Linked DNA regions of Macaca fascicularis. The protein of the gene in region 7 interacts with the protein of the main gene of each other region in a biochemical or structural test. Links are inferred from orthologs where the notes say so. Each region holds a gene or a part of one and is shown on either strand. Other genes may lie near its edges.

Region 1 (4,441 bases), about 17 Mb from region 7:
AATACCATGCAGATAAACCTAAGAGGGATGCAGAGGGAAACACACTAGAATTTGGTAATGTAATGTATTCATACTAATTTTAAATAAAAGGGACATGGACAACTATACCTACCACTCCTGCCATGAGTTGATGGAAGAACCTCTGAGCATCTTGTTCAGGCATGCCTATGTCTGGCTCTAAAACAAGTATGAAAGTAAGTTTATTGACTAAATATAATCAGGTAGCAACCACATAGCTTCTTAATTTGAAGCCTAGACATTTACAAATGTACTTAGGCAAAGAGAAGCAAATGCCAACAAAAGAATCAGGAGTCCACTAACACATAGAGGGCTTAACTCACATTTACCTCTGTTAGATGGCAAAAGTAGTATTACAGAAAAATTATAAAGAGAAAAACCCATATCCAAATCAAGAATGTAAGCCATGCCTTGAAAGCCCCTGCTTCCTCTTATACTAACCCTGATTCAGTAACCTTCAAATTCTCCCCTATTTCTTCTAAATGCTATGCTAATTATTTTTCTCATTCCTGAAATACAATGCCAAAGGGGAAGTCTGGGCAAATCTAAGCCAATTTCACTAAATATTTTAGAGATTATACTTCTTTCATTATTTAACTTTTTTTTAGAGATAGGGTCTTGCTCTTTCACCCAGGCTGGAGTACCCTGGCGTGAGATCATAACTCACTGTAACCTGGAACTCTTGAGCTCAAGCAATTCTCCTGCCTCCTGAGTAGCTAGGATTACAGGCATGTACCACCACACCTAGCTCAGATTTAAACTTCATATAGTCTCACAGTACAAAACCACGAATGCCTGTGAGGTCCTTCATGAAACACAGTTTCATTATGAAAATTCTTTTATCAGTTATCTTTTTATATTTTGATCTCTCTCATTAACTCCATTTCTTTTACCCTCAACTCTCTCCTGAGTCACACTGGAGATCCTAGTACCTCTTTATCAGTTTTTAACTGTTAATACAATAGCTTTAAATTATAAATTTACATCCAGATTTATTTTATGTACTTCTCAGTGTTCTGAAATATCGGTCCTTTGATTCTACATAGAATGTTTAAGTATTAATAGCAAACACAGAATTTACTTAATATACAAAAAGCAATCCTAGAAAATTCTCAATTATTTCATGTGAACCAAGAGGAAACAGCATGCTATTTTAGATCTGTAAATGTATACAATGATTTCATATAACTAGAATGTCTACAAAGAAAAAATTGTGTAGGCAATACATTGCATTTAGGATACACTGCATTTATGATGTATCATAAAACTACATTTTGTCACTCTTAAATTCTGTAAGACACCAATCTTAAACCAAAATCACTTATATAACTTGGGAAAGAAGTTTTCTTTCATTGACTCTATATATGCTTTTATGTATTAATACCAGTAGGAAAAATTTTTTAAAGATAATTTATTCCAATTTCACTGTTGCATGAGCAATTTTGAAAGGACAACGACCAAATAGCATGCCCAAGATTTAAAAAACAAATTTAAAAATTTGTTTAAAATAATTATCTTAAATTTCTTCCATACCTATTCTGTCAAAAAGCTCTCCTCCACTACAGTACTCCAGAAATAAATATTGGATATTGCCTTCTCTCCTGTGACCATAGAATTTTACTACATTTTCATGATTTAGCATTTTATTGATACAGATCTCTTTCTTAATATTTTCTGGACAGTCTACGGCACGCTTCATATCTACAATCTTCACTGCGACTGCTTCTTCAGTTACTCTATTCACAGCAAGTTGAACTCTAAAAAGGAAAAAAGTTTTAACATTATAGAATTCCATTTCTTCTAAAACTTCCAAAGATTAAACATGACGCATCCAAAACTATTTTACCTTTATTACTTTTTCCACAAAGGAGAAACCAAGGAAGTGGTTTCTGCTATGTTCTCAACAGACACTACTCCTTTCTAAAATGTGAAATACAATAGCTAACCCTCCAAACACGTCATTATGCTGTCACACAAGTCATTTAATAAACGCTTCATAAAATAGACTGAGGTAATTCTAAGCCACATCACATATATACATGTTCTACTCACATACTTTTAAGAGCATTAATCCCATATTATATGTGCTTGTGTAACTGTCCTAAGCTCCTATGGGGTAGATACTATTATTGCCACCCTGAAGGTGGTGAAGGAGAGGTACACAATGACATTAGGAAGCTTGCCTAAGATCACAAAACAATGACCAGTATGTGACAGAGCAAGGATCTGAAACCAGGCAATCTCCAGAGTCTGCTCATTAATCACGATGCTTAAACTCTGAGAAGCAATGTGTGGGCACGAAAACAGTAACTTCGTGTCCCTTCCAGCTCTTTACAAAGAAAACTTTTTTTTTTTAAGGGAAGGAAAAAATATTAATCCTAGCAAAAAGACTGTGTAACTTCAGTTGCCAAAAATCTTGGATCTCAAACATCTACTCTCTAAATCACCAGAGTATGAGACTCCAAAACAATGAATATGCACTCAGAAGACAAAGGCAAGGTTAAAAGAACTCACTCTCCATAGGCACCTTCTCCCAGGGTTTGCACCAAGTCCCAGTCTTCCACAAAGGGCACTGCCATGACTCCACCGGAGCTCGGCTGTAAAAGGCAGGAATCCAGAAAAGATGGAAAGTGAGTGTAAGATCACCTGTGAAGCCACTGCGACCCGCCTCTCCCCAGGATTCCCCACGAAAAATAACAGCTCTTGCCTTCCCCTTATATCTCATCTACATTTATCCAAGTCTTTCAACCACGAAGAACTATTCTAAACTTGGCCATTTTGTCGTGTAAATCACAATCGCCATTCCCACGCACACCGAAGGTTGAAATTCTGCCCTCCTCAGGCCTCAGAGGAAATTAATCGTTGTGGTGAAGAGGTGAGAGACAAATGCTTTCCGGTGAACGACTGGGGAAGGAGGAGGGACAGGTGGGGGTCTGGGGAAGAAAGAAAGGGGATAGAGGGAGCGGAACCGGGCAGAAGACGCCTGCGGCAGCGCCTCCTCCCAATTGCTCAGTTCCAATTCCCATCCCCATCCACACCCCCACCCGTCCCAGAGGCCGGGGCGGGGCCAAACTGCCCCGAGAGGCGGAAGGAAGGGCTGGGACCCTTCCTTGGGGTTCTTAGCTAGCAGTGTGTTAGTCCCTCCTGCCCCCTCTCTACAACGGGAATCTCCTGCTACCATTCCTCCACCCTCCGAAACCGCCCCTCCGCAGGAGTCTCTCCAATCCCCTGCGCTAGTCAATGCTAACTTTCTCCCACCGTGCCCTCCCTCGCTAATCTAGACCCCGAACTCCTTCTTTAGAAGCCTTTCCTACTCTACCGGCCGCCCCTGCTCACCGGACTGTCCTTTGCCCACCACTGCAGGAATCCAAATGCAGCGCTTTTCCCGCCAAAACTTGCTGGCGTCACGCTGCCGCAAACTCGCGCACCCGTGCCGTAAAGCAAGACAGCGCGCGTTCCCGGGTCTTGCCTCTCTGAATGTCGGCGGCTCCAAAAGACTGACGCCGAGAGGTTGCCGCTCCCGCCCAGTTGCTTTACAGTCGGGGAGAGATTCTGGCTGAATAGGTTTAAGGACGGCGGACCGCATCGGTGCGAATTGAGCTCTGGGCCCAAATATGAAGTGGCATCCGGCGTGAGGCTCGGCTGGGCGGTGCTCGAGCGCCTCTGGGTGAAGCCCAGGCCTCCATGCCGCGGGGTCGCGCGACTGTCCGCGCTGCGCTTCCAGGCGGGTCTGCGGGCTTAGCTCCTGGCCACTCTGGGCCTGAAAAGCTGCACTACCACCTGCGGGAGGCCACCGGACAGGACTGTGAGGATCACAGTCAGTGCTGCAGAGTGCTTTGTGAACTTCAGAGTGCTGTACCCGTGGTGCTGGAGCCGAGAAACTAGCAGCAGCAGCTGAGAGCTGACTGTGAAGAAATGAGAGGAACTCGGTGTTGGGAGCGAGAGGCATCGAAAGGACTGGCCACGCAGTCAAGTGTGTGTGGCGGGGGAAACTTCCCGGAGAAAGAAAGCAGTTTATTTTGGAGCTTGAAGTCGGGATAACCAGTTTTGCCTTTTTTCTGTGAACCAGCTCCAAAGCAATGCTTTAGTTCAGCCCAATCTTTTTGCAGGAAGACCATCTGCTTACCTTAGTTCTACAAAAGTTTTCATTTTTAATGTGCAAAAAACAGGCGGGGAGAGCCAAAATAAATTTTACAATGCAAATTTAAAAGCCGCGAACGTCATTTAAATAGAAAAGTAAATCTGAGGAAAGAGACTCGAGAACAAAATAGGAAAAATTGAAATAAGTATTCTCTGACAGTAAACTAGACTGGAACTCAAGGATAGGCAGGATCATCTCCATTACATTCTCCAGCACTGGCCGGGCGCAGTGGCTCCTGCCTATAATTCCAGCACTTTGGGAAGGCGAGGCAGGAGAATGGCT
Region 2 (4,011 bases), on a different chromosome or scaffold from region 7:
AGGGTGGAGCTCAAGGGCTGTGGGCACAACTGCTTCAGGGGTCTTGACAGAGGATCTATTTTTTCTTCCCCTAGTAGCCTGAGATGTGGGCTCAGAGGCGACAGGCTGGTCTGTGGAGGTGGAAGGCTGGAGCTCAGGGACTGTGGGGACAACTGGTTCAGGGGTCTTGACAGAGGACCTATTTGTCCTGCTCCTAATGGCCTCAGATGTGGGCTTGGGGGTGACAGGTTGATCTGTGGAGTTGGAAGGGTGGAGCTCAAGGGCTGTGGGCACAACTGCTTCAGGGGTCTTGACAGAGGACCTATTTGTCCTGCTCCTAGTGGCCTGAGATGTGGGCTTGGGGGTAACAGGTTGATCTGTGGAGTTGGAAGGGTGGAGCTCAAGGGCTGTGGGCACAACTGCTTCAGGGGTCTTGACAGAGGATCTATTTTTTCTTCCCCTAGTAGCCTGAGATGTGGGCTCAGAGGTGACAGGCTGGTCTGTGGAGGTGGAAGGCTGGAGCTCAGGGACTGTGGGGACAACTGGTTCAGGGGTCTTGACAGAGGACCTATTTGTCCTGCTCCTAGTGGCCTGAGATGTGGGCTTGGGGGTGACTGGCTGGGCTGTGGAGGTGGAAGGGTGGGGCTCAGGGGCAGCAGAGGTAGCTGGAAAGGGTGTCATCCTGGAGGACTTCCGAGTTATGATTTTAGGCTTTGGGTGGAAAGGCTCCAGCTCTGAGGACAAGGGAGTCTCTGGAGCTTCCTGACTCCTATCCTGCCCGGTCTTACGAATGGTTGGCTCGATAGAAGGTGAAAGGGGAGAAAGAAGGGGCTGAGGTGCAAGATGTTTCTGGTTCTGAGAGTTAAGGGGCTTTTGGGGTGGGGCTGAGGCTTCAGGCACTGTAGGAGGCAGACAAGCATCTGGAGATTCCTGATCGCCCTAGGGAGAAACAGAAGCAAGTGAGGGGGAGGAGGTGGAGAAAAGAGATAGAACTTGGATACTGTTCTTGATACTTGTTTATGGTTAGATAGGATTACTGGATTTCGCCCAGGCGTAGTGGCTCACGGCTATAATCCCAGCACCTTGGGAGGCCAAGGTGGGTGGATCACGAGGTCAGGAGTTCAAGACCAGCCTGGCCAACACAGTGAAACCCCGTCTCTACTAAAAATACAAAAAAAATTAGCCGGGTGTGTTGGCAGGTACCTGTAGTCCCAGCTACTTGGGAGGCTGAGGCAGGAGAATCGCTTGAACCTGGGAGGCAGAGGTTGCAGTGAGCCAAGATCGCGCCACTGCACTCCAGCCTGGGTGACAGAGTGAGCCTCTGTCTCAAAAAAACACATAAAAATTAGCTGGGCGTGGTGACACGCACATGTAGTCCCAGCCACTTGGGAGGCTGCAGCAGGAGAATCACTTGAACCCGGGAGATGGAGGTTGTAGTGAGCCAAGATCACGCCACTGCACACTCCAGCCAGGGTGACAGAGAGAGACTCTGTCTCAAAAAAGAACAAAAACAAAACAAAAAATATGCTCACTGGGCTGGGCGCGGTGGCTCACGCTTGTAATCCCAGCACTTTGGGAAGCCGAGGCAGGTGGATCACCTAAGGTTGGGAGTTCAAGACCAGCCTGACCAACATGGAGAAACCCCGTCTCTACTAAAAATACAAAATTAGCAGGGGTGGTGGCGCATGCCTGTAATCCCAGCTACTCGGGAGGCTGAGGCAGGAGAATCGCTTGAACCCGGGAGGTGGAGGTTGCGGTGAGCCGAGATCGCGCCACTGCACTCCAGCCTGGGTAAAAAGAGCGAAACTCTTTCTCAAAAAAAAAAAAAAATATGCTCACTGGATTTCCCTTTCTGTCTATGATCTCTCCTCCATTAGACTGGGATATACCTGGGAAGCTACTTTTCCCCATGGACCTGTCTCCATAATGCTACTATAGTGTTCTCCACACATGGATGATGGTAATGAAAAGGATGGCTGGGGCAAAGAAAGAAGAAACACGAAGGATCTTTCTTCGGAGTCAGGTAGGAGATACAACTTGGGAAACAGATATGGAAAACAATGGGTGCCGAGGATAAAGGAATAGAAGCCAATCAAGGAGTGATAAAAATGGAAGAAAACTGAATAATGAGAAAGGAATAGATTAAAGTGAGGCTAGGTGAAGGAGCGTTGGAGAGGATATAGAGATGACTTGTGGAGTAGGAGGTAGAAAAAGCAGCTCTCACCCTGGAAGCCTTCTCAGCAGCTCCGATCCTGGAAGCCTTCTCAGTGGGTGGCATCTTGCAATTCAGGAGGCCTAGACAGAAAATAAACACAAAGGTGGCTGAGTTGCAGGCAGCTGGTTGCCCAGGGGTTGATTATTATGAGGCCTGTGTATCACCTTGAGTTCCCCTCTGCCTTCACTTACCTTTCTGATGCCTCCTGGGGCTCACTGGGGATCCCCTTCCACCTGACTGGCTCCCAGAAGGTACGGGGGCTGAGGTAGGTCCCGGAAGGTCCCCCGCCCCCACCCCAGGCTCTGGTGTTGGGCTGGAGGCCTGCCCTTTCTGGTCCTGGCTCCCTCCCTTTGGCTCCCCTCTCTGTGCGTCTCTCTCCAGGATCACTTTGGGCACCTTCTCTTCTAACTCAGCTGGCTCACACTCTCTGTCTGCTACTGGTCTCTCTACTTCTCTCTCAAATGCTTTGCTTGGAAGGGTCTGCTTCTGTACTTGTTTCTCTTGTATTTCCTTGGATGTCTCAATTTCTACCTTCAAACTCTCCCTATCTCTTTCAGGACTTGCACTTTCCCCATTTTTGTCAGATTCTTGTCTCTGGGTGTCTCTAGCTAACAACTGTTTTTGTTCTCTGTCCTGTATCCCTCTGGCTAATTCTTCCTCTCCCGTCACATCTGTCTGTCTTTCCGGTAGCAGTTTCTCAGTTTCTCTCTCCAGTGGCCCTCTCTCAGGGCCCACCCTCTCTGCTGTTTCTTTTGGTATACCCATGCCTTTATCCACAGTCTGCCTCCCTCTGCCTTGAATCCCCATTGGCTCTGTGTGAACTGGGCTCTCTGGATGTTGGTCTCCTGGTATTGCCCTAGGTGGAGACAGGCAAGGTCCATAGGCCTCAAGGTGGGTGTCAAAAGGCTGGGTCTCAGAGTCCTCAGACTCTCTCAGACAGAATGGCTGTGTAGCCAGGACCTCCCATGGTTCATCTAGGGTACCTGGAAGGGAGGAAGGAAGAGAAAGAGAGGGAGAGAGAGAGAGAAAAGGAGAGGAGGAGGGAAAGGGAAGTACAGGTTGACATAATAAATATGATGAGAAAAGATTTAGATAAACTCATAAATAATAAATCTCAACAGGTTATTAAAGGAAAGCTGGGAATAAGGGTGGTAGTTACAACATTTAACGTTTGTCTCAAAAAGGTCATAGCCTTGGGCGGGCATGGTGGCTCAGACATGTAATCCCAGCACTTTGGGAGGCCAAGACATGAGGATTGCTTGAGGTCAGGAGTTTGAGACTAGCCTGAACAACATGGCAAAACCCCATCTCTACAAAAAATACAAAAAAATTAGCCAGGTGTGGGGGCAGGGACCTGTAGTCCTGTAGTCTCAGCTACCCAGGAGGTTGAGGTAGAAGAACTATTTGAACCCCAGAAGTCAAGACTGTAGTGAGCTGCGATCATACCACTGCACTTCAGCCTGAGTGACAGAGACCCTGTCTCAAAAAAAAAAAAAAAAGAAAAAAAAACCCAACAACAAAAAGAAAAACATCATAGCCTAATATGAGTTCCCTGAATAGTCTCTCCTCATACCACTGCACTCCAGCCTGAGTGACAGAGACCCTGTCTCAAAAAAATAAAAAAATAAAAACATCATAGCCTAATAAGAGAGTTCCCTGAATAGTCTCTCTCTTTTTCTTTTTGAGACACAGTCTCACTCTGTCACCCAGGCTGGAGTGCAGTGGCATGATGTTGGCTCACTGCAACTTCCAACTGCTGGGCTCAGGAGATCCTCTCACCTCAGCCTCCTGAGTAGCTGGGACTATAGCATGTGCCA
Region 3 (4,011 bases), on a different chromosome or scaffold from region 7:
CTTTGGTGCCAGATATGGGTTCAAATTTCAGTTCTACTAATCTCATAAAGTGTGTGACCTTTGGCAATATATTTGATTTATCTCTGATATTTACCTTCTCCTCCTCTAAAGTGGGGATAAGCTTCTACCTCACTGTAGGTAGAATTAATAAAATAATATATACTGGGGCTTAATAAATAGCACTCGGCAGAAAGGTCAAAGCCAGAATATATAGAATTAGGAGGTATCAGCATATAAAGTAATGCCTGAAATACATGGATACGGATGAAGGTTCAAAGGAAAAATTTGAAAAGTAGTCAGAAAACCAGGTGAAGCCAGCCAAGGAAGAGTTTAGAGTAATGAGAAGTCGAAAGTGTCATACTCCATAGAGTTAAAATTAAATGAAAGAAAATACTAGATTTGCCAAGTGGGAGGGAATTTGTACCTTTTTATAGACATATGAGGGGTATGCTAGTCACAGAAGCCAGATTCCAGTGAATGGAGGCTGAAAAAGTAGAAGCAGCAGTAATCTGGTAAGGAAAGGGGAAAAGAACTATAGCAGAATCAATAGGAAGTTTCCTTTTTCAAGAGTAGGGTAACTACATCTAAGCGAAGTAATGTTATGAAAGAGTCCATGGTAAGTCTCAGGCAAGCAAAGGCTGGTAGCAACTGTAGTTACGTGTGGCCTGTTCCTAACTTGTTGGTGGCAGTGGTCCTAAATCTGAAAGAAAAATAAATAGAAGAAAAAGGAAATTTGGTCTGCCAGTCAACGCAGTGAAACATTTTTTTTTTTTTTGAGATGGAGTCTTGCTCTGTCGCCCAGGCTGGAGTGCAGGCGCGCGATCTCGGCTCACTGCAAGCTCTGCCTCCTGGGTTCACGCCATTCTCCTGCCTCAGCCTCCAGAGTAGCTGGGACTACAGGCGCCTGCCACCACGCCCGGCTAATTTTTTTGTATTTAGTAGAGATGGGGTTTCACCATGTTAGCTAGGATGGTCTCGATCTCCTGATCTTGTGATCCGCCCGCTTCGGCCTCCCAAAGTGCTGGGATTACAGGCGTGAGCCACTGCACCCGGCCAACGGGGGGAAACATTTTGTTCCACAGAGCCAAACTACATAGACATAAACAGAAGTCCTTCTGTTGTGTTTTATAATCAAAAGGATTTATTTTCTGATTTTGCTCCTATGTTTGCTTAGAACTGTTTTCTTTAGTAAGCAGTGTTGTCTTAAATATTACTACTCAGCCTTTGCTTGAGACTTCTTAATCAGACTTGCTTCTAATTTTAAGTTAAGAGTTTCCTTATAACCGGCCGGGCACGGTGGCTCAAGCCTGTAATCTCAGCACTTTGGGAGGCCGAGACGGGCGGATCACGAGGTCAGCAGATCGAGACCATCCGGGCTAACACGGTGAAACCCCGTCTCTACCAAAAATACAAAAAATTAGCCGGGCGCGGTGGCGGGCGCCTGTAGTCCCAGCTACTCGGGAGGCTGAGGCAGTGGAATGGCGTAAACCCGGGAGGCGGAGCTTGCAGCGAGCTGAGATCTGGCCACTGTACTCCAGCCTGGGTGACAGAGCGAGACTCCGTCTCAAAACAACAACAACAAAAAAGAGTTTCCTTATAAACATTTTTAAAAACTGAAAAGATTTTAATTTTTATTTACAGATTTTAATTTATATTTTAAAATATATTTAAATTATGAATGCAGCCTTTATGCTTCTGTTTAGTAAAACCTAAATACTCAAAATCACAGACGGATGGAACACAAATAAAAGTCACTTGAGGGCTGGGCACCATGGCTTATGCCTGTAATCCCAGCACTTTGGAAGGCTGAGAAGGGTGGATTCATGAGGTCAAGAGTTCAAGAGCAGCCTGGCCAAAATAGTGAAATCATGTCTCTACTAATACAAAAATTAGCCAGGCGTGGTGGTGGGCGCCTGTAATCCTAGCTATTCGGGAGGCTGAGGTAGGAGAACTGCTCGAACCCAGGAGGCAGAGGTTGTAGTGAGCTGAGATTGTGCCACTGTACTCCAGCCTGGGCGACAGAGCAAGATTGTCTCAGGAGGAAAAAAAAAACAAAACAGTCACTTGGCTTGTTGTAACTCTTTTTCTAATATCAGAGAAAAATCTCTGCCAGACAGATTTTTCTCTGAGTTCAGATATAATTTACTAACATTGTGACAGCTAAGAATATTTTAGGAACAAAAAAGCTGATCTGAGCTGTAAGTGAAATTGCACACACACAGACACACACACACACACCCATTTCAACAGAGCACTACAGTTACAAAGTGCTTTCAAAGGAATTATCTTACTTGACTCTTAAAACAATACTTGGGTGTGTGCTGGAATCCCATTTTGCAAACCTGAGGTATAGAAAGTTAATACTGTCTCCCAAAATGGAGGGACAGGGCTAGGACTTGGAAGCCCTGCTTCTTTCACTTTATCAGTGTTTGAAGTATCCTGGGATGAACAGTGAAATACTTTCATCAATTTCAAACTTTTTAAAACTTTACATACCCTATTTTCATTTTCTTCTGTTTGTCTCGGTCACTTCTATATGAAAGTTCTAAACTAATATTTAGTAACTTGTTTTTATTGTTTTTGATGGCAAAATCATTTATAGCAATGAAGTTACTTTCTGAGAACTGCTTTACCAACATTTCGTAGATTTTGAAGGTAGTAGTTTTTGAAGACTGTATTTTAAGATTTTTTTCCATAATGTGGTATTCTTAGAATATATTTTTGAAGACTCTTTAGGTGTTAAAATGTTATTATTTTGAGTAAAGATATTATTCATTAAAACATGAACTGGCCACCATACATTTACTTTGTATCAAGTAAATTTAATATAGATAAAATTTAACACACAGTTAATATACATATGTGAAACTCTTGATCTTCTTGAACAATACTATATATGAAAAGAAACCATTTTGAAATAACCTGGCAAGCTGGTTGGAGTGCAAACATAGGAAGGTTGTGCATTAAATCTCCTGTGGGGAAACTGCATGAAAGAAAACTACTCCATGATCAAAGATTGACCCATAATCCTATAGCTATCTTATAAATGCAGCTCATTAAATAAAGTTTAGCAAGATCCATTAATTCTGCTGGAAAAAAAAAAACCCAATGCAAAGATCCTATTACCAGTAGATGTAAAGATACACATCCAGTAGAAAGTGAAGACACACTTAACCCACAACAATCTAAGTAAATGCAGTATATGTACCTGTTCTTCATTAGACGAACCTCTCTCTTTCGTGCTGCTTCTTCAGCAGGCTGTGTAGGAAGTGCTGGGGAGGATGCCATAACAACTCCAGGGGCAATAGTGCTAGTGGGTGCTGTGCGAATCTGGTATGTCTGTACATCTCCAGAGGCAGCTGAAAGAAACAGTGATTATGGTGTAAGACAGAAACACTGCAACTTGATTCAATTATGTGTATCAATCATCAATCTAAGCATGTATTCTGGACTAAAAGGGAAACAAAAAAGAAAAGATGATTCTGGCTAAAGTGTTGAAAGAATCAGCACTCTTTGCGCCACTACTAAGAAATAATTCCCAATGTAATGTATTTATTACAGTAACCTATGTCTGCTGGATCTTGTATTTTATTTTTCATTTGAATGCAGTTCTATTCTGTTGTTAACATGCTTACCAACCTTAAGTCTAAAAGGTAAGTGGGGCACAGCTTGGATGATCTTCCTAGATAGAGTATAGTCCTCAATGTCTTCCTTTGATATTGGTAAATTCATATTAAAAAATTTCAAGTAGACTCTTGCCACGACATAAAAACGACCATGATTTTTCATAAAATAGCAAAATGAAAAAGAAGATAAAGCATTATGGTCAACTATTATAGATTTTGAATTAAAACAAAACTGAAAGTATGAAAAAGTGTATCACCTGATGCCAATTATATTATTTGAAAACATATTGTTTTAATGTAAATGATAATGACTAAATAAACTGAAGTTTTATTTTTCTGATTCACCATTTGTAAAAACAAACACAATCACTATTTGTCAAACTGC
Region 4 (4,526 bases), on a different chromosome or scaffold from region 7:
AGCCCAGGTGACAGAGTGAGACCCTTCTCAAAAAAAAAAAAAAAAAAAGAAAGAAAGAAAAAAGAAAGAAATGCTGAATCTAGTCCCCACCCCCACCTACAGAATCAGAATATGCACTTAAATGAAGCCCCCAGTTATCCTCAAGCACCTGGAAGGTTGAGACGCAGTATTCTGCTCTGGAGCAAAAGGGTCCTGCGATGTGACCATTTCAGCTTCTCTGCCCTAGCAGAGGTGGGCTGAGGTGGGCTTTGGAGGAAGAGTTCACACCTTGGCTAATCGAGGCCGACCAGGCTTGCTTGACTTTAGTGGAAGTAAGCCGGGTTTCCCTGGCTTAGGGACTGTGAGCTGTACCTGGATGACCCAAAGAGTGAGCTGGCTTTAGGCTCCTGGCACTGCTAGCTTCTTCCAGTGATCTCAGAAACATGCTATGCCCTGATGCAGAAGCCCCTTCCCCACTCCCCCTACTGTTAAAGACCTTCGGCCGGGCGCGGTGGCTCAAGCCTGTAATCCCAGCACTTTGGGAGGCCGAGACGGGCGGATCACGAGGTCAGGAGATCGAGACCATCCTGGGTAACACAGTGAAACCCCGTCTCTACTAAAAATACAAAAACTTAGCCGGGCGAGGTGGCAGGCGCCTGTAGTCCCAGCTACTCGGGAGGCTGAGGCAGGAGAATGGCGTGAACCCGGGAGGCGGAGCTTGCAGTGAGCTGAGATCCGGCCACTGCACTCCAGCCTGGGTGACAGAGCGAGACTCCGTCTCAAAAAAAAAAAAAAAAAAAAAAAAAAAAAAAAAAAAAAAAAAGACCTTCAAAAGGAGGGGGATTTGCTGTGGTCTGTCAGCCCCCTGCCTACTCCCCACTTCCCAACCCAAAGTGAAAAGTGGATTCAAAGTTCATATATTTTATGTTTATTATTTATTTTAGAGACAGGGTCTCGCTCTGTCACCCAGGCTGGAATGCAGTGGTCAATCATAGCTCACTACAGCCTCCAACTCCTGGGCTCAAGCGACCCTCTGGCCGCAGCCTCTGTAATAGCTAGGACATCTTTTTTTTTTTTTTTTGTAGAGATGGAGTCTCACTATGTTGCCCAGGCTGGTCTTGAACTCCTGGCCTCAAGCAATTCTCCTGCCTCGACTCCCCAAAATGCTGAGATTACAGGTGTGAACCTTGGTACCCGTGCCAGAAGTGCCTATAAACAGTATCTGTGGCTTCCAATTTGACCCAACAATCCAGCAATAAAAGGCGCAAAAAAGGGCTACCTGTGCCTTCAGGCCAGCCTCAGGGCCCACCCTGAACAAATCCAGCAGACACTTACACCCTCAGTTGAAAGAAGTCCAAAATTGTCAGGAATTGTCCTGGTAGACCATTGTGACAGGGACAAAGGAGAACAGCATGAACTACAAAAGACCCAGCAAGGGAAAGAGGATGAGTCGGGAGTGGCAATAAGAGCCCCTGCGAGCTTTTCCTTGGCTCATTTCTAATAGAAAACGAAGCATTCCTCCCTTCTCTGCCTGGTTGCTATTTCTTGTCCAATCTGGGAAAACGGTGTGACAATGGGCAATAGACACGTGTTCAAGCTCTGGGGCCTCAATGCCCGGCTCTGTAGAATAAGGCGGCAGGGCTGGACAAGATCCCTAACCGTTCTAACAGTGTATGTTTTGGATCAAATAGCTGAGGACCTCGGATCCGGCCGTGCATGCTGCTGGTAGGACAGCTGCCTGAGAAAATAAGCATGTGGCCCCTGCCCGCCACCGAGTGAAGCGCCAGGATCTGTCGCGTTTTCGAGTAGTTTGGAAAGCAGCGTGGAGGAGATTGAAGGGAGAGAAGTCAAAGGGGTGGGGGCAGTACGAGGATGGGAGGGGAGTGGAGAGCCACGAGGATTTGTTTCATCATGCAAACAGGCGCGTAGGTTTCATCAGCGTCTGTGCGCTGGGGTTGCGGGGCTGGGAGGGAATGCCAGGCTCCTGAGGGCAGCCTGAGGCTGCCCCCCCACCCCCGCACCCGTGCCAGCTCAGCTTCCTCTTCCTCATCCTCTCCCAGGGAGGTCACACGGTGCCTCCTCCTCTCCCCGGACAGAAGAACGTGTTTTTCTGCACAGCCCTGCCCGTGGCGCCCGGCCCCCCCGCGGAGATCCCACTCGCGAAAATGGGGAACGTGCCACAGGTGCCCGGGAGGCTCTGCTGGAGCAGGAGAGCACCCCCACATCCAAACCTCCGTCAGAGCGCGCGTGTCCAACGCAAAACTAGGGGTGCTTCGGAAAGGAAAAAGGGCCCTGCAGGAATCATTTATCCCAACAGATAATACCCATCCCATAAAAACACCAGGCCAGGCCTCTCCTGGATCGTGGGCCACCCTGACTCCGCCCTATCCTGCCTCGGGAGCGCCCCCAACACCCACAAGGGGCAGCACAGCTCGGCATGTGGCAGTCCTGGAAGAGTGCGTGTTTGTTAGGTGTCAGCTGTCTGACACCTAACAGAAAGAGGAAACGAACGGGGCAGTTTGCAACCTGGGTCTGGACGACGCACTCAAGAGGGCAGACGGGCGGCCACTTCCATGACCCTTGCTATCTCCCCGATGCCCCTTCTCCGTTCTTTCCAGTCACAGCGCCCTTGAGCCTGGACACCCGGTCCAATCCGCGATTCCCGATCCTCCCGCCCGCCCAGGAGCCGGCCAGCTGCGTCCCCAAGCCCGCGCCTACCTCCCGGGGTGGTGCTGAAGAGTGTGCCGCCGGGGGTCGTGCTGTAGTCCCCGGGCGGGAGCTGCACGCCGTCGCCGAGCACCACCCGGCGAGTGGCGGGGATGGCCCGACTTGGGGTTTGGCTGCAGCTGCTGCCCCCGGACATGGTCTCCTGTGCGCTGCACCAGCGAACCTCTCGCTGCCCTCCCGCGCCTCCAGCCTCGCTCCGCCTAGCCGGGTCCCGCTCAGCCTCGCCCCGTCCCGCCCCGCCCCAGGACGCCCCTTCCGCCTCTCCCGCCCACGCCCCTGGGATTTGTAGTCCGCGCCGCAGCCCCACCCAGCTCCAGGACGTTGCTTCCACGTGGGATCCCCCGCAGCCCCCCGACCCACTCACGCCTGCTCACGGGCTCTTCCGCACGGGCGCCGGCGCCGCCCCGCAGCGACTGCCCCTCTGTCCTGTGTCCCTCCCCGCCACGTTGGCAGGGATGGGGGTGGGGGTGGTGGGCGGGATAGCTCGCCTAAATTAATCCTTGGCTGGGTTGGGGGCGGCGACTCAGGACCGCGCGGAGATCCGAGCTGACCCGGCCCACTGCAGGAAGGCCCGGTTTCTGCCTTAGTACATCAGGCCCGGTGTACCCTCCGGCACTCCCTGTTTCGTGCCTTAGTTCCTCAGATGAGAAAGTGGGGATTGAGTGGTCATGCTCACCCCCTCCCCCGCCTCAATTTCTTGACCTTGATGGGGGTGGGGATGGTGGGGCTAACAATTCTGTTCCCGGCCTTTAGACAGGGTGTGGGAGGAGGAGTGAACCAACCAGCGGCGTCCTGGGAGTTAAATTTAGAGCTAGGGCGCGGGGGTAGGGGGAGAGGGAAGGGCGTAGGAGAGGGGTAAGAGTTTGTCAAAGAGGTTTCCCGATAACTCCTGAATTGGGTCCAACGCCCACCCCACTGCCTGAGATTTAGTAGGTACTCCTTGGATGGTGGATGGAGGGATGTTCAAGGGGAGAGAGAAAAATGCAAGAAGGACCGAGGATGGAAAAGCTTGTTGGGTTTGAGAAGTTCTTAGCATTGTGGGCACATGTTGTGGGGAAGAGGGTGAAGAAAGTTTAAAAGGGAAATTGGGTGGTGCACCTGTAATCCCCACTACTCAGGAAGCTGAGCTGGAGGATGCTTGAGCTCAGGAGTTTGAGGCTCCAGTGAGTGTGATCACACCACTGCACTCCACCCTTAGTGACAGAGACCCTATCTCTAAAAAATATATAATAATTTTTTAAAAAGGAAATTGGGGTCAGGTCATTGAGTTTTTCAAATCATGCCAAAGTGCTTGGACTTTGTCTTAGAAGGGCAGGAGAGATCAGAGATTTTTTTTTTTTTTTTTTTTTTTTAAGGCTGGAGTGCAGTGGCGCGATCTTGGCTCACTGCAAGCTCTGCCTCCCGGGTTCACGCCATTCTCCTGCCTCAGCCTCCCGAGTAGCTGGGACTACAGGCGCCCGCCACTGCGCCCAGCTAATTTTTTGTATTTTTAGTAGAGATGGGATTTCACCGTGTTAGCCAGGATGGTGTTGGTGTCGATCTCCTAACCTCGTGATCCACCCGCCTCGGCCTCCCAAAGTGCTGGGATTACAGGCGTGAGTCACCGCGTCCAGCCCAGAGATCTTTTAAGCAGGGGGATGACATGATTTGAGTTGTTTTTTTTGAAAGATAACTAGTAGCCAGTGGAGTTTCAGGATGGGCCAAGGAGGGCAAGGCCTGAGATAGGGAGACCTGTTGAATTTGGTCTCACTTTTGAGGGAAACTTTAGGCCTACAGTGGCTTAAGACAGTAGCCGCCAGCTACAGGTGCACATTGAGCAC
Region 5 (4,659 bases), on a different chromosome or scaffold from region 7:
GTTTTGTGTAGGAGAAACTTACAATACGACTAATAGATGAAAAATCACTTCACTGAGTGGAAAATCTATTTTAAGTAGGTAAAAGTAGAAATGGAGAGATCAACTAAGTTTACTGTAATACTTTAGGTAAAAAATTCTGGTGGTAGCAGTGGAGACAGTGAAAAGTGTTAGATTCTAGATGTATCTTAAACATATAGTTGTCAGAACTAACTTAAGGATTATTAAGGGACAAGGGGAAAAAACCAAGGATGACTCCTAGGCTTTTGGTTGGTATATTTACAGTAACATGGGAGAAGGAACAAATTCAAGGGCAGTAAATCAGGCGTTCTGCTTTGCATATGTTAATTTTCACTTCCCAGTGTGGATGTTGAGTAAGCAACCTAATATATATCTCTGATCTAGAAATATAAATTTGTGAGTTATCAGCATATGGATGACATTTAAAGTAATGAGATTAGGTAAGATTACTTGGGAAGAGAGCACAGATTAAAAGAGGGCCAAGGACATAGTCTAAAAGCACATGGGAGAACAGTCAAGAATGACTTCTAGATTTCTGTTTTGGAGAAATAAGTGAATATGGTGCCATTTACTGAGATAGCTCTACTTCAATGAATAAGAGAAAAAAAATTTTTTTTTAATTTAAAAAAAGAAAGCTTATGAAGGTTAGGACATGTGGAGAATTTGTATTGGATATGCTGACTTAACTACACATAGGACACTCAGTGAAACTGCCAGTATACAGTAAATATACAATTCTATAGGAGACATGATTTGGAAAAACATATTAGGAGTCATCAAATAGCAGATTATGGTTGAAGGCAGGAAAGTGGAAAGGTCATTTGGCAAGACTATGCAGAGCAGAGTGCTAACAGCAAAAAAACAATAGGACAAAATTTATCTGAGGGACTGAGGAAGAGCAGTCCATAAATTAGAACACTAGTATCTCATTTTTTTTCAGTAGTCTAATTGCCACAGTCAATTAAAGGAAAACGTTTTGGAAGAAAAGGCCTTGAGAGCTTGAATCTGAAACCTAGCTCTGGTATCTGCTAGCTGTGCCTTTGGTTCTTCAACTTCTCTGACCCTTTTTCTTAAACAGTGGTAACACTTATTCCATTCTATGTCATGGACATACTATGAAAATGGATCAGCTTTTTTGATTCAAGTAGTTTTAATGAAAAAGCCATGACAATTAAAAACTATTAGACAACTCTCTATGGGTCAGTTTTTCTATTCTTTCTCTTGGCATAGCTACAAATAAATGAAAGGTAACATAAGCTCTACTGATGAACAGACTATATATAATCCAAGAACCAATTATTTTTATTAACAGGACCCACGGAGGAAGACGCAAGAGGGAAGAGAAGTATTAACCAGCTAATTCTACTTTAAAGCAAAGTGGGAAAAACATACTGAGCTTCACAGTGAGCCTGAAAGATGAAATTTGTAAACCACCTTCCTACAATGATCACTTTTCTTCATCTTCTTTTAGAGATGTAGAAGTTAATTTGTAAACTAGACACGAAGTATATTTGCCGCAGATAAAAAGTGGAAAAAATTCATACACTCAAAAATAGTGACGCAGTTAGGACAAGAATGATCCCTTCATTTATCCTCTTATTCATATATTGAAACTAGATTATTTGGATGGCCAACCAGTGGAAATGAACACAACTGCGCTGCAAAAAGAAAGAGAAGTAGCTATCCCATTGGCTTAATGTCAGCTTTGACTTTGTGTGGGAAGTTTTCAAACAGTTTAAGAAACTGGGAAGCAGTTGTTCCAACTGATAATTTAACTGCAGTAGCACCACGAGCTCATTTATTTCTTGTTCACAGGTTAGAATTAAACAAAACAAAACAAGCCCTACCGAGTCTTTAGGCCTGGTTCAGGGAAGCCTGCCTGTGTATTGATGGGGTGTGGCAGCCATCAACCCCTCTCCCTCCTTCTTTTGGTAAGATACTGGTTTTCACGAGGTTTACAGACAACAAGCATTTGCAAACCAAATATTAAATCGTCTCCAAATTTTGGCAACACTCTGTGCACGCTGAGATTTTGTGGACCCTGAGGTCTATCTCTCCAATTTCTGACTAAAACAACGGATCGGGAACTGGACGATCAATACGAAGGAGGTCACATCTTCAGTACGTACTGTGACTTCAATTCAAAGAAAAAAATTGCCTGTTCCAGCAAGTGATGTCACTTGCAGAAAATAAGAAGCGGTGATTTTCTTCCAAGGACAATTTGGGGACAAAATGTAAGGCTAAAAACCAATTCCTCCACGAGTGATCACGAAGAACAGAACCTGATGGGTCAAGTCCCTCGTCTAAGGAAAAAGATTTTCGAGAAGGAAATGAGTGTAGAAAAGTGACCAGAAAGCGATTATCAGGCACTCTTCCCTCCAGCTGCAGGAAGCAAACTCTCGGGTCGGGGCTAATTCTCGGGTCGGGGCTAACACCCACGGGCTGCTGCGGTAAACCAGGGCCAGCAGACGCCTCTCTCCCCTACGGACCGGCTTCCCGCAGGTTTGTGGCGACCGCCCCATGTCCTATCAACTGGCACTCTGAGGGAGAAGCGCCCAAATCAGCCACGGAGCATCTCCACAAGGGCCGCAGCGCGGACTTAGGGGATGCCAGCCATGGCGCGGCAGGGGAGGGGAAAGCATGTGAAACCCCAGCCGGGACCGGAGGAGGAGGAGGATGCAGGACCCAGGCTGGGCCTACCCCTACCTGCCGAGCTCCCGCAAGGCGGGGATCATGGAAGCCAGCTCCACACCATGTTCCCCCATGCTGGGGCTGCGCGGCACTCTTCAACCACGCCGACTCGGGTTCCCGGTGTCTCCAAAGCTACCGCTGCCGGAAGAGCGCGGCGCCCGACGGAGCCTTGCGGAAGCCAAAACTCCTCCCGGAAGCCGCTACTGGCCCCGTTTGCCAGGCCCTGCGTATTTTCTGCTTAGGACCCGGGGGAAGCCGGGAAGCCGTTAGCGGGCGGGGCAAGCGGGCTGGCGCGCGTCGGTCGAATTTCCCGGGTAGCGTCAGCCTTCGTTCTCAGCACCCAGCGAGCAATGTTCGTGAAGCTTTCGTTTTGAGCGGCCAGACTCTACTGTTCTCAAGCCTGGGAGGCACAGCGAAGCAACATCCCCGGATCGGGGGAGAATAGGGCTTGAGGGCCGCCAGCCCAGACTCTCGCTTCACAAATGTGAGAACGATGACAGCGAGTAAAGGCCAAGAGTAGACTCCAGGTTTCCCCAGAGTAACGCTCTCACATTTTAAAAGTTCCTCAGTTTCCCACCGCTCTTGTCCCTCTTTCTGAGAGATACAGGCCAAAAGGTGGGCTCTCCCTGTTTTTTTCCTTCTAAGCATTCTTTTTCAACTTGAAGTCACTCTTAGGTTTCCTTGAGGACCCTACCAACCTTTAATATTTAAAAATGGGGTTGGTTTATATTTTTGTCTCATCAAATCAGCAGCAGTACTATGTGTGGAAATGCCACCATTACGGGCATCCACAACCTGTGATTTAATTTTTAAAGTAAAGCAATGGGTTTTGGCAATACACATTTTCTAGCTCAATTTATTGGAAAGATGATCACTATAAGAGATTGTTGACATGTCGAAGTTAGGTAGTTAATCACTCAAAGTCATGCAGTATGTTTACATTTGTTCTTTGGTACATGAGGATAGTTAACTGATACAGGATCTTTTAAAAAAGTGATGTAATGACAGCCAAATATGCTCTTGCCTCAAGAACTTTCCATTTGCTGTACTCTGCCTTGAACGCCATTCTGTCATTGCCCCTTTTCCTTCATGTGTTTGCCAAAATAACACCAAAGAGCTTCATATAGACTAACATATATACACACTCTCTCTCGCTCTCTTTTTTTTTTGTTAGAAACATTGTCTTACTCTGTTGTCCAGGTTCTAATGCAATGAATGTTGCAATCATAGCTTACTGCAGCCTAAACCTCCCAGGCTCAAGCGATTCTCTCACTTCAGCCTGGGCTCAATTGATCCTCCTGCCTCAGCTTCCTGAGTAGCTGGGACTACAAACATGCCACAACGCCTGGCTAATTATTTTTTGTAGAGACAAGGTCTTGCTATGTTGCCCAGGCTGGTCTCAAACTCTTGGCCTCATGCGATCCTCCCACCTCGGCCTCGGCCTCCCAAAGTACTAGGATTAGAGGTGAGAACCACCACACCCGGACATACTATGTTATTGTTTCTCTTCAGTTACAATGTAAGCTCCTGGAGAGCAAGGTCTTGTCTATTTCGTTAACTATCAGATACCCAGGACCTAAAACAGTGCCTGGCACATAGGTGGTATTCAGTAAACATTTGTTGAATGAATCACTGAATGTTTTAGTAGAAAGGACATGGGATTGGGAGTTACAGTCCCTACACAAGTTCTCATTCCATCTGCTAGAAACTGTATGTCCTCAGTAAAGTTACGTAATCTCTTAGTACTTCCATTTTTTCATCTGTAAAATGGGATTAATAATGTCTACCTCACAAGACTACAGCAAAGATTAAATAAGAGGTGGTAAAGTCATAAAGTGGCATATAATTTCTTAGTTAAAATGAATGAATTATACCACATTTGCCAACGATGAATCCTGAAAACTATGCTGATTGAAAAAGCAAATTCAAAGATATACAAAACAGTGTCAT
Region 6 (4,011 bases), on a different chromosome or scaffold from region 7:
TGCTGGAATTACAGGCGTGAGCCACCATGCCCGGCAATTTCAGGAATTATTAATAAAACTAACAGATGAACAGCTATCAAGACTGTCATGCTTCCATGGGATAGGAATTTTGTCTCATTGTCATGGTTTGGTTTAGTTTAAATAAAGCAAATAAAGAATGTGCACAGTCAGAGCCCATTTCCCACAAAACCATTTCTGTACCAAGGGCACAACTGTGTGCCTTCTGCGGTGGCCCAAAGCTGCACTGTGCTCACAAGCAGGCATCACCTCCCGTGCTCTGACTGCACCTGCCAGCAAATCAGATGGTCTCCAGTCCCTCCTGCCCATGGGGCTACTTACACATTTAGAAAACTACTTTCTACTGCTACAAACACTGTACTTGAGATCAAAGATTTTATTTATGACCTTAACCCTCTACTCCAGACAGCATCAAAAGACAGAGGGAAAAGCACAATAACAATCATGCTTGTCTCTGGCCTACTATTATTTTTCACCTCATAGGCCCGCAGAGCTGAGCTTTTTGTTTCTCAGTGAGTCTACTACTTACTTCCCCACGTGACAAATACTCACACTTTCATCAACCAGTTCTAGAGAGAAAAGCTTCCCTTCCCCTCGGGAGTTGCTCCAGGTACGGATCTGACTTTTGTTGGTAACACGAGCACAAATAGTCCACCTACAAACCAAATCGATTATATTAGTGTTTGGAGTCTTCCTTAGAAAAGATCAAGTAAGAAATCATCTTCCTACAGCCTTTCTCGTCTTCAAACACATATTTCATTTTCCAACCTGTATTTTAATCCAGCTAATTAAAACCCCAAGATGACACATTGGTTTGACAGTTTACAGAATAAGCAAATAGTAAAACATGCAAGGTGATTTAATACTAACTCATTCTCCTGTCAAATAAGTAAATTTATAAACTCTCTCCCTTCTCCAAAAAGCATCACCAAGGCAACAATATCCCCTTAATGAAAGGTTCTAAGCTGGAAAATACAGTAACACCAGCAATTATATTTTGCCATGGTTTTCAATTATGGGAACTGATATAACTGGTGTCAAACTTCTGTCTCACTCCTAATGTACCCTGAATAGAAATCCACGATGTCGGTGGACCATCAGGGAGAACACGCCGAGGCAGCATGACCTTGCAGAGAGGCACGGAAAAAGGAGGCACAGGGCACATTAGGTACCTTACTTATAATTTCACAGGGAAAAATATCTTCCTACATTACAGAGTATTGAAGAATAAATGTAAACATATCTGGAAGGATTCTGAAAAAGGAACTCTAATTTTTAACTATTCAAATTACTTTATTTTGTGTATTTGTTTTGTGAGACAGAATTTCACTCTGTCACTCAGGCAGGAGTGCAGTGGCACGATTTCAGCTCACTGCAACCTCTGCCTCCCGCGTTCAAGTGATTCTCCTGCCTCAGCCTCCTGAGTAGCTGGGATTACAGGAGTCCGCCACCACACCTGGCTAATGTTTGTATTTTTAGTAGACACAGGGTTTCACCATGTCAGCCAGGCTGGTCTCGAACTCCCGACCTCAGGTGATCCGCCCACCTCAGCCTCCTAAAGTGCCGGGATGACAGGCATGAGCCACCGCGCCCAGCCTCAAATTAATTTTTAGTGGAAAAAGTCATATAAATGAAATATAGGCTCAGGGTATGTTAATGTGGTTAATACAAATTCTGCAGATTATCTAGCCAACTAAACCAAAGACGAAGTCACCTATTTATAGGAGAAGAGTAAACGCCTTTTGAATTATCAGAAATATTTATTTTTACTCATAAGACTACCAACTGATTAAGCATTAAATATTTTTAATTTCAAATTCTTTCAAAATGAATGAAACCTCACAGGCTATGGCAGATTGCTATTGCTATATTTTCCAACAAGAGTTAAAGGTTGCCACAATCTGTACCCCTTTCCTCCTCAGAAAAAAAAAAAGAGTAAACCCATTTTATTTGGTGGTAACCCTGAAGTTTGCGCATAAATAACTCAAGGGTCCATAACAGCTTCTACGATTCTGTAATCACACTCTGAACTTATTCTATGCATAACTCACTTGGACTGGTAAGGAGTGAGGCTGGCAATGGGCACCACTTTGGACTGTGTTCCCCCAGAAGTGTTTGACAGGCTGGGACCTCCAGCTTTTCCAAATGTCTTTGAAGCACCATAAGCCTTAGAAACAGTGGAACCTTAAAAAACAAACGCAAACAGAAAGGAGCATTATTATTCTACTTAGCTTTTTTATAGTAAGCTTTACAATAACTCTAAATGTTTGAGGTGCCGCTAGTGAAATCCTATAACACGAGAGGCAAAGCTTTTCCTTTGTAGCATGCAAGAGATACGCAGATCAAACAGAGACTGAGGCTGGAGGCTAGGAAAGCAATCTAGAACGAAGGCTGCGCACACAGACGCTCACTGTTACGTTTGCTGACGTCAGCCCCGAGGTCAAGGCAATAATGGTAATGAATCCAGACACTGTTCTTTCTGAAGGCCACCCTCTTACACACTTCTCTTGCCTCAATGGGCAAGATAACGGGTCAGAAAAAGGAAATCAACTGTCGTAACTGGTAAAACTGACGGCAAGGCACGAGTTACGTAAGAAAAAAAGCAAGAGGAAAGACAGGACGTAAAGGACGTATCACAAATCGATGGCCTCCGAATCCCCAGACAACTCCCAGATCTCCACGCGTCTAGAGGACTAAATAGTCTAGAGTGAAGTCCGTAAGAATGAGTTGAGTAAAGGGCAGGAATCAGTTCTGGTCAAGACACATAAGTGGGTGACCACTAAGACCCTTCCGCCTCCTTAATCCAAACCTGAGCAGCTGCCCGGCACCGGGAAGCCACAGGGATCAGATGCGTTCTTTTAGACGCACCACGTGTCTGCAAAACTCAACCTCCAAATTCAGAAAATATAATTTAGTTCAGTGATTTCATACCCTCTATATCAAAACATTTTTTCAGAATAGAATTTGGCTAAAAGGATCAATACACCATCTATCCAGTATTTATTTACGGAGTTTCCACAGCATGTACCACACCCTTCTAGGCACTCGTAGTAATTAGTAAAAAATATACATAGGAGTGTTCCAGGGTTAAAATTTTCTGTTCTAACGGGGGAGTCAAGAGAGATCAATACACACACAACAGTAATTACCTCAAGACTGTGTACGGAAACGCATGTCCTTTGTAGAATACATGTGTATACCCATACGTAATTTATAATTTCATAAAACACACACAAGCATCCATTCATCCAATTTATTTCATGCTGGGTAGCTTCTCCTCCGTACATATCCAGTTCATTTTCTTTCACTACATAGTTTAGGGAACATTAACTGATTTTCATTTTTTTGAGACAAGGTCTTGCTCTGTCCCCCAGGCTGGAGTGCAGTGGCATGATCTTAGCTCGCTGCAGCCTCAAATTCCTGAGCTCAAACAATCCTTCCACTTCAGCTTCTCGAGTGACTGGGGCTATAGGCGTGCACCACCATGCCCGACTGATTCTTTTAAAAAAATTTTTATAGAGATAGGATCTTACTATGTTGTCCAGGCTGGTATCAAACTCCTGGGCTAAGCAATCCTCCCTGCTCTGGCCTCCCAAAGTGCTGGGATTACAGGTGTAAGCCACTGTGCCCAGCCCAGATTTTTTTAAATGTATTTTAATATAAGGCAAAGATAGACAACCAGAAAAATAATTCTGTGGAGGGAGAGAGAGGAATAATGTACTATTTGTATATCAGCCTAAGGAAATGATTATTTACTACGTTAGAGTCTATTTCACCACCCTCTTCAAAAGTGTATGTGTGTGTGTGTGTGTATTTTTTTTTTTTTTTTTTTGAGACAGAATCTCACTCTGTTGTCCAAGCTAGAGGGCACTGGTGCAAACTTGGCTCACTGCAACCTCCACCTCCTGGGTTCAAACGATTCTCATGCCTCAGCCTCCCGAGTAGCTGGGATTACAGGCACACACCACCGCGCCTGATTAATTTTTGTATTTT
Region 7 (4,011 bases):
CTCTAGCCTGGGTAACAGAGCAACGCCCTATCTCTTAAATAAATAAATCCCTTCAATCCTCAGATTTCTGTCATTCTTTGCTTGAATAAATTTCCCCAAATATTTGAACCAGTAATATTAAAAATCAGGCTGGCCTAAGTGCAGTGGTCTTTACAACTAATTGATCACAACCAGTTACAGATTGCTTTGTTACTTCTCCACTCCCACTGCTTCACTTGACTAGCCTTAAAAAAAAAAACAAAAAACAACCTTTTTTTTTTTTTTTTTTTTTTTTGAGACGGAGTCTTGCTCTGCCGCCCAGGCTGGAGTGCAATGGCCGGATCTCAGCTCACTGCAAGCTCCACCTCCCGGGTTCACGCCATTCTCCTGCCTCAGCCTCCTGAGTAGTTGGGACTACAGGCGCCCGCCACCGCACCCGGCTAGTTTTTTGTATTTTTTAGTAGAGACGGGGTTTCACCGTGTTAGCCAGGATGGTCTCGATCCCCTGACCTCGTGATCCGCCCGTCTCGGCCTCCCAAAGTGCTGGGATTACAGGCTTGAGCCACCGTGCCCGGCCAAAAAAACCTTTTAATAAAAATAAAAATCATTATATGTATTTGCACTCAATTTTTAATCTTATTATATTTAGAACAAACTTATGCAACAGTTAAGTCCTTAAAATGATCTGAAAAAAAAAAAAACTCATGCAACAGTAATCTGTTAAGCCATTTATTTATAATTTATAACATCACTTACTTCTGTTTGCACATTTGATGAAGTATTTGACCAAACTACTGATTTCCTGCATCTTTTTCTGCCTGGAAGCTTGTGTTGAGGCTGATACATTTGGTTTTGCTATTCTCAGACATTCTGTTTCTTTCTGAATATATTTCTGTAAAAATCTTCAAGAAAACAAAATACAATTTCAGAAACTCGTTGAATCCTTAAATTATAATAATTTCGAAAGCTGTTCATGCCATCAAAAAGAGCAACTTTTAAACTACCTTGCTTAGATTACTATACCAGCTGAATAAAACAAATAAAACAATTAAATCTCTCTTTCAAGGCCTAACGCCTGTAAGACCAATTTAATGTCTGGTTTGCAAAGCCCTTAATCTTCTATGACTTACTACTGCTTTACTGCCTGCTTTCTAAATTTATCATTAAAAGCTCACAGTGCTAGTAAGGACCCTCTCAATCCTCTCTCAACTCCTTCTGTTATTCTGTACTGGATCTACTTCTTTCTTAGGCAGTTGGTAATGTTGCTAGCCATTAAATGATGCCTGCCTAGAAGATATTCATAACTAGCCAGGAGTGCCAGGTACATATTTGACCTACCAGATCAGCTTATACAAAATAGTATTCATCTTCAGGTTATATTTGTTGTATTTAAAATAAACTAGAAAGCCAGAGGAAAAAGGGCATGTATGTTTCATTTTATATGCATTCAAATCTGCAACAATCTAATACCAAATAGGAGCTAAAAATAAAACAGAATCTGTTGTAAACACTGAAGGACAACTAAATACATACTCCCTCGTGACAACAAATGTTATTTCTAGTTTATTTAATACTCTCAGTATTTAAAATACTTTATTCATCTTTCCTAATTCTTACAATCTGTTTCTAGTTATAAATGGATTTCATGATTGAAAATGATGTCTCAATGTAAAAATGCATCAACCCTGTTGGTTTAACTGATTGTTGTGTTTTTTCATTGTTTGAGGTTTTCTTTGTTTTTAACCAAATTCATATACAATCTTCCTTTTACTTGTTTTATTACAATTTAACACGTGGCATTTACTTATAATCAGAGCAATATTTAAAGGTGTGAAAGTAATATCCAAACATTATAATTTTTTTCTCTAATCTGAAGTCTTGTGAACTAATTAAAATGAGAGAAATTCTCTATCAATTTTGAGTGAGATATGTCTAAAACATTTTATTTAAGAAATAATTTATAATTTTTAAGTTTCTATATGAACAAGCTTTAAAAATTATGTTTTGGATAAATATTAAATGCCAAATTCATATGCAAGGCATAATAATATATAGGAAACAAAGACAAATGTTAAGACACACAAAAATAATATCACAACAGAAATAAATATGAAAGAGAAAAATGAAGACAGTAAAATAAATTTGAATAGAATACCTAAAAACAGCATCCCAATTCAAATATTTTCCTTGTTTGGAATCTGAATGCCGATCTAGATGTATAATTGTTTCAGGATCTCGAATCAGGCGCTTAAATTTCTCAACTTCTTTCTGAAAATAAAAAGGAAATAATAATGGGTTACTAATCACACTTATTTCAAGGAAAAATTGAATTTAAGTAATTTACTACCTTTCGTTCTGTAGCTCTCTCATGTTCTAGTTGACGGCAGCAAATAAGCAGATCATTAAGTGCTAGACTCATGGTTCACAATTTCAGAATACACATCACTGCAAAAAAAAATATAGGTATATATATGTATATGTATATATATGCGTATATACAGAGAGAGGTGTGAAAAAATGTGTATATATAATTATTTTATACTGCAATATTTATAGATTTAACCATACAATTAGAAGCATATTCTCATCAAAGACACAATAATTTTTCTTAACATTTCCATATTTAAAATGAGATTTTCTTAAAATCTATACAAGCAATGCTATAACACAAAAATGTTTGCCTTGCTTGCAGTGGTAGCAGGATTGAAATAAAAGTATAATTTACACTGGGTGCGGTGGCTCACGCCTGTAATCTCAGCACTTTGGAAGGCCAAGGTGGGAGGATCACAAGGTCAGGAGTTCAACCAGCCTGGCCAACATGTTGAAACCCTGTCTCTACTAAAAATACAAAAATTAGCCGGGCTTGTTGTCACGCGCCTGTTATCCCAGCTACTCAGGAGGCTGAGGCAGGAGAATCGCTCGAACCCTGGAGGCAGAGCTTTCAGTGAGCAAAGATCGAGCCACAGTACTCCAGCCTGGGCGACAGAGGAAGACTCCATTGGGGTGGGAGACGGGGGAAGTATATTTACTTTTTATTACTCTGAGACCAAAGAAACATGACATTTAAATTCAGACATGAAAGATAAATAGAAAACAGCCAGGCAAATAAGGAAATGAGTACTCAAGAATTTAACATTGACAATGAATTATTTAAAAGCACTCTTGGCTGGGCATGGTGGTGCATGCTTGTAGTCCCAGCTACTCAGGAGGCTGAGGCAGAATAATCACTTGTACCCGGGAGGCGGAGGTTGCAGTGAGCAGAGATCGCACTACTGCACTCCAGCCTGGTGACAGAGCAAGACTACGTCTCAAAGAAAAAAAAAAAGAAAAAAGCACTCTTGCTCATCTGGAGAGATGTGTCATTTTGCTGAGCCAAAGGCTTAAAACATGCTTTGGAACTGATAAGTAGGAGGCTATCAGAGCTAGTAAGCTTTGCCTACCACTTCCATCTCGACTGGTAATTAAGGCTCTTATTTAACACATAACGATAGGAGTAAAATATTTCTGTTTTAAAAGGAAATTCTATGCTATGGTGGTATCCTTTGCAAATGTCAAGGATCAACTATATTTTACTATGTCTTGATTCCACTGTAGTAGCTCTCTTCTTTTGGGGGCTTCTGATATAATCAAACTCTCTTTTGATGTCCTTCAAAATAATCTAATAAGAACAGTATTTCAACATGGACACAAAGATGGGAAAAACTGACACTGGGGACTGTTTGAGGGACAGAAAGAGAGAGAGGTATGGCTTGAAGCGCTACTTATCAGGTACTATGCTCACTACCTGAGTGACAGAATCATTCGTACACCAAGCCTCAAAAACATGCAATTTACCCATGTAACAAACCCGCACATCTACCCCCAGAACCTAAAATAGAAAAGAAAAAAGAAACAGCATTCTGTTTTACTAGTTCTGATCTAAACCTTTATATGATACAAAGAAGTTTTTTTATTAGACTATGAATGTCTGTAAACAGAAAAAATACATATATTTATGTATATTATACCTACACATACTTACAACTCAAGATG

The links.
Region 1: of the proteins of ATM (region 7) and CHEK1, one has a biochemical effect on the other in vitro, tested with the Homo sapiens proteins (2 studies listed by BioGRID, with this or other methods). The link is inferred for Macaca fascicularis from reciprocal best matches to the Homo sapiens genes ATM and CHEK1.
Region 2: the proteins of ATM (region 7) and MDC1 form a complex in vitro, tested with the Homo sapiens proteins (2 studies listed by BioGRID, with this or other methods). The link is inferred for Macaca fascicularis from reciprocal best matches to the Homo sapiens genes ATM and MDC1.
Region 3: of the proteins of ATM (region 7) and CREB1, one has a biochemical effect on the other in vitro, tested with the Homo sapiens proteins (2 studies listed by BioGRID). The link is inferred for Macaca fascicularis from reciprocal best matches to the Homo sapiens genes ATM and CREB1.
Region 4: of the proteins of ATM (region 7) and EIF4EBP1, one has a biochemical effect on the other in vitro, tested with the Homo sapiens proteins (2 studies listed by BioGRID, with this or other methods). The link is inferred for Macaca fascicularis from reciprocal best matches to the Homo sapiens genes ATM and EIF4EBP1.
Region 5: of the proteins of ATM (region 7) and ATR, one has a biochemical effect on the other in vitro, tested with the Homo sapiens proteins (2 studies listed by BioGRID, with this or other methods). The link is inferred for Macaca fascicularis from reciprocal best matches to the Homo sapiens genes ATM and ATR.
Region 6: the proteins of ATM (region 7) and RPA1 form a complex in vitro, tested with the Homo sapiens proteins (3 studies listed by BioGRID, with this or other methods). The link is inferred for Macaca fascicularis from reciprocal best matches to the Homo sapiens genes ATM and RPA1.

What each region holds. Positions count from the first base shown.
Region 1 is NC_088388.1:124,180,132-124,184,572, reverse strand, and holds the start of CHEK1 (serine/threonine-protein kinase Chk1), read right to left. Parts: upstream 3,030-4,441; 5' UTR 2,744-3,029; coding exon 2,726-2,743; intron 2,616-2,725; coding exon 2,533-2,615; intron 1,776-2,532; coding exon 1,552-1,775; intron 178-1,551; coding exon 113-177; intron 19-112; coding exon 1-18. UniProt on the Homo sapiens protein: Serine/threonine-protein kinase which is required for checkpoint-mediated cell cycle arrest and activation of DNA repair in response to the presence of DNA damage or unreplicated DNA.
Region 2 is NC_088378.1:141,947,622-141,951,632, reverse strand, and holds part of MDC1 (mediator of DNA damage checkpoint protein 1), read right to left. Parts: intron 3,178-4,011; coding exon 2,386-3,177; intron 2,275-2,385; coding exon 2,204-2,274; intron 919-2,203; coding exon 1-918. UniProt on the Homo sapiens protein: Histone reader protein required for checkpoint-mediated cell cycle arrest in response to DNA damage within both the S phase and G2/M phases of the cell cycle.
Region 3 is NC_088386.1:103,525,136-103,529,146, reverse strand, and holds part of CREB1 (cyclic AMP-responsive element-binding protein 1), read right to left. Parts: intron 3,360-4,011; coding exon 3,209-3,359; intron 1-3,208.
Region 4 is NC_088382.1:41,420,483-41,425,008, reverse strand, and holds the start of EIF4EBP1 (eukaryotic translation initiation factor 4E-binding protein 1), read right to left. Parts: upstream 2,905-4,526; 5' UTR 2,843-2,904; coding exon 2,698-2,842; intron 1-2,697. UniProt on the Homo sapiens protein: Repressor of translation initiation that regulates EIF4E activity by preventing its assembly into the eIF4F complex: hypophosphorylated form competes with EIF4G1/EIF4G3 and strongly binds to EIF4E, leading to repress translation.
Region 5 is NC_088376.1:45,385,399-45,390,057, forward strand, and holds the start of ATR (serine/threonine-protein kinase ATR), read right to left. Parts: upstream 2,873-4,659; 5' UTR 2,784-2,872; coding exon 2,725-2,783; intron 1,535-2,724; exon of another isoform or gene 1,331-1,534; intron 1-1,330. UniProt on the Homo sapiens protein: Serine/threonine protein kinase which activates checkpoint signaling upon genotoxic stresses such as ionizing radiation (IR), ultraviolet light (UV), or DNA replication stalling, thereby acting as a DNA damage sensor.
Region 6 is NC_088390.1:1,984,402-1,988,412, reverse strand, and holds part of RPA1 (replication protein A 70 kDa DNA-binding subunit), read right to left. Parts: intron 2,203-4,011; coding exon 2,070-2,202; intron 674-2,069; coding exon 571-673; intron 1-570. UniProt on the Homo sapiens protein: As part of the heterotrimeric replication protein A complex (RPA/RP-A), binds and stabilizes single-stranded DNA intermediates that form during DNA replication or upon DNA stress.
Region 7 is NC_088388.1:107,240,842-107,244,852, reverse strand, and holds part of ATM (serine-protein kinase ATM), read right to left. Parts: intron 2,425-4,011; 5' UTR 2,399-2,424; coding exon 2,327-2,398; intron 2,248-2,326; coding exon 2,135-2,247; intron 882-2,134; coding exon 736-881; intron 1-735.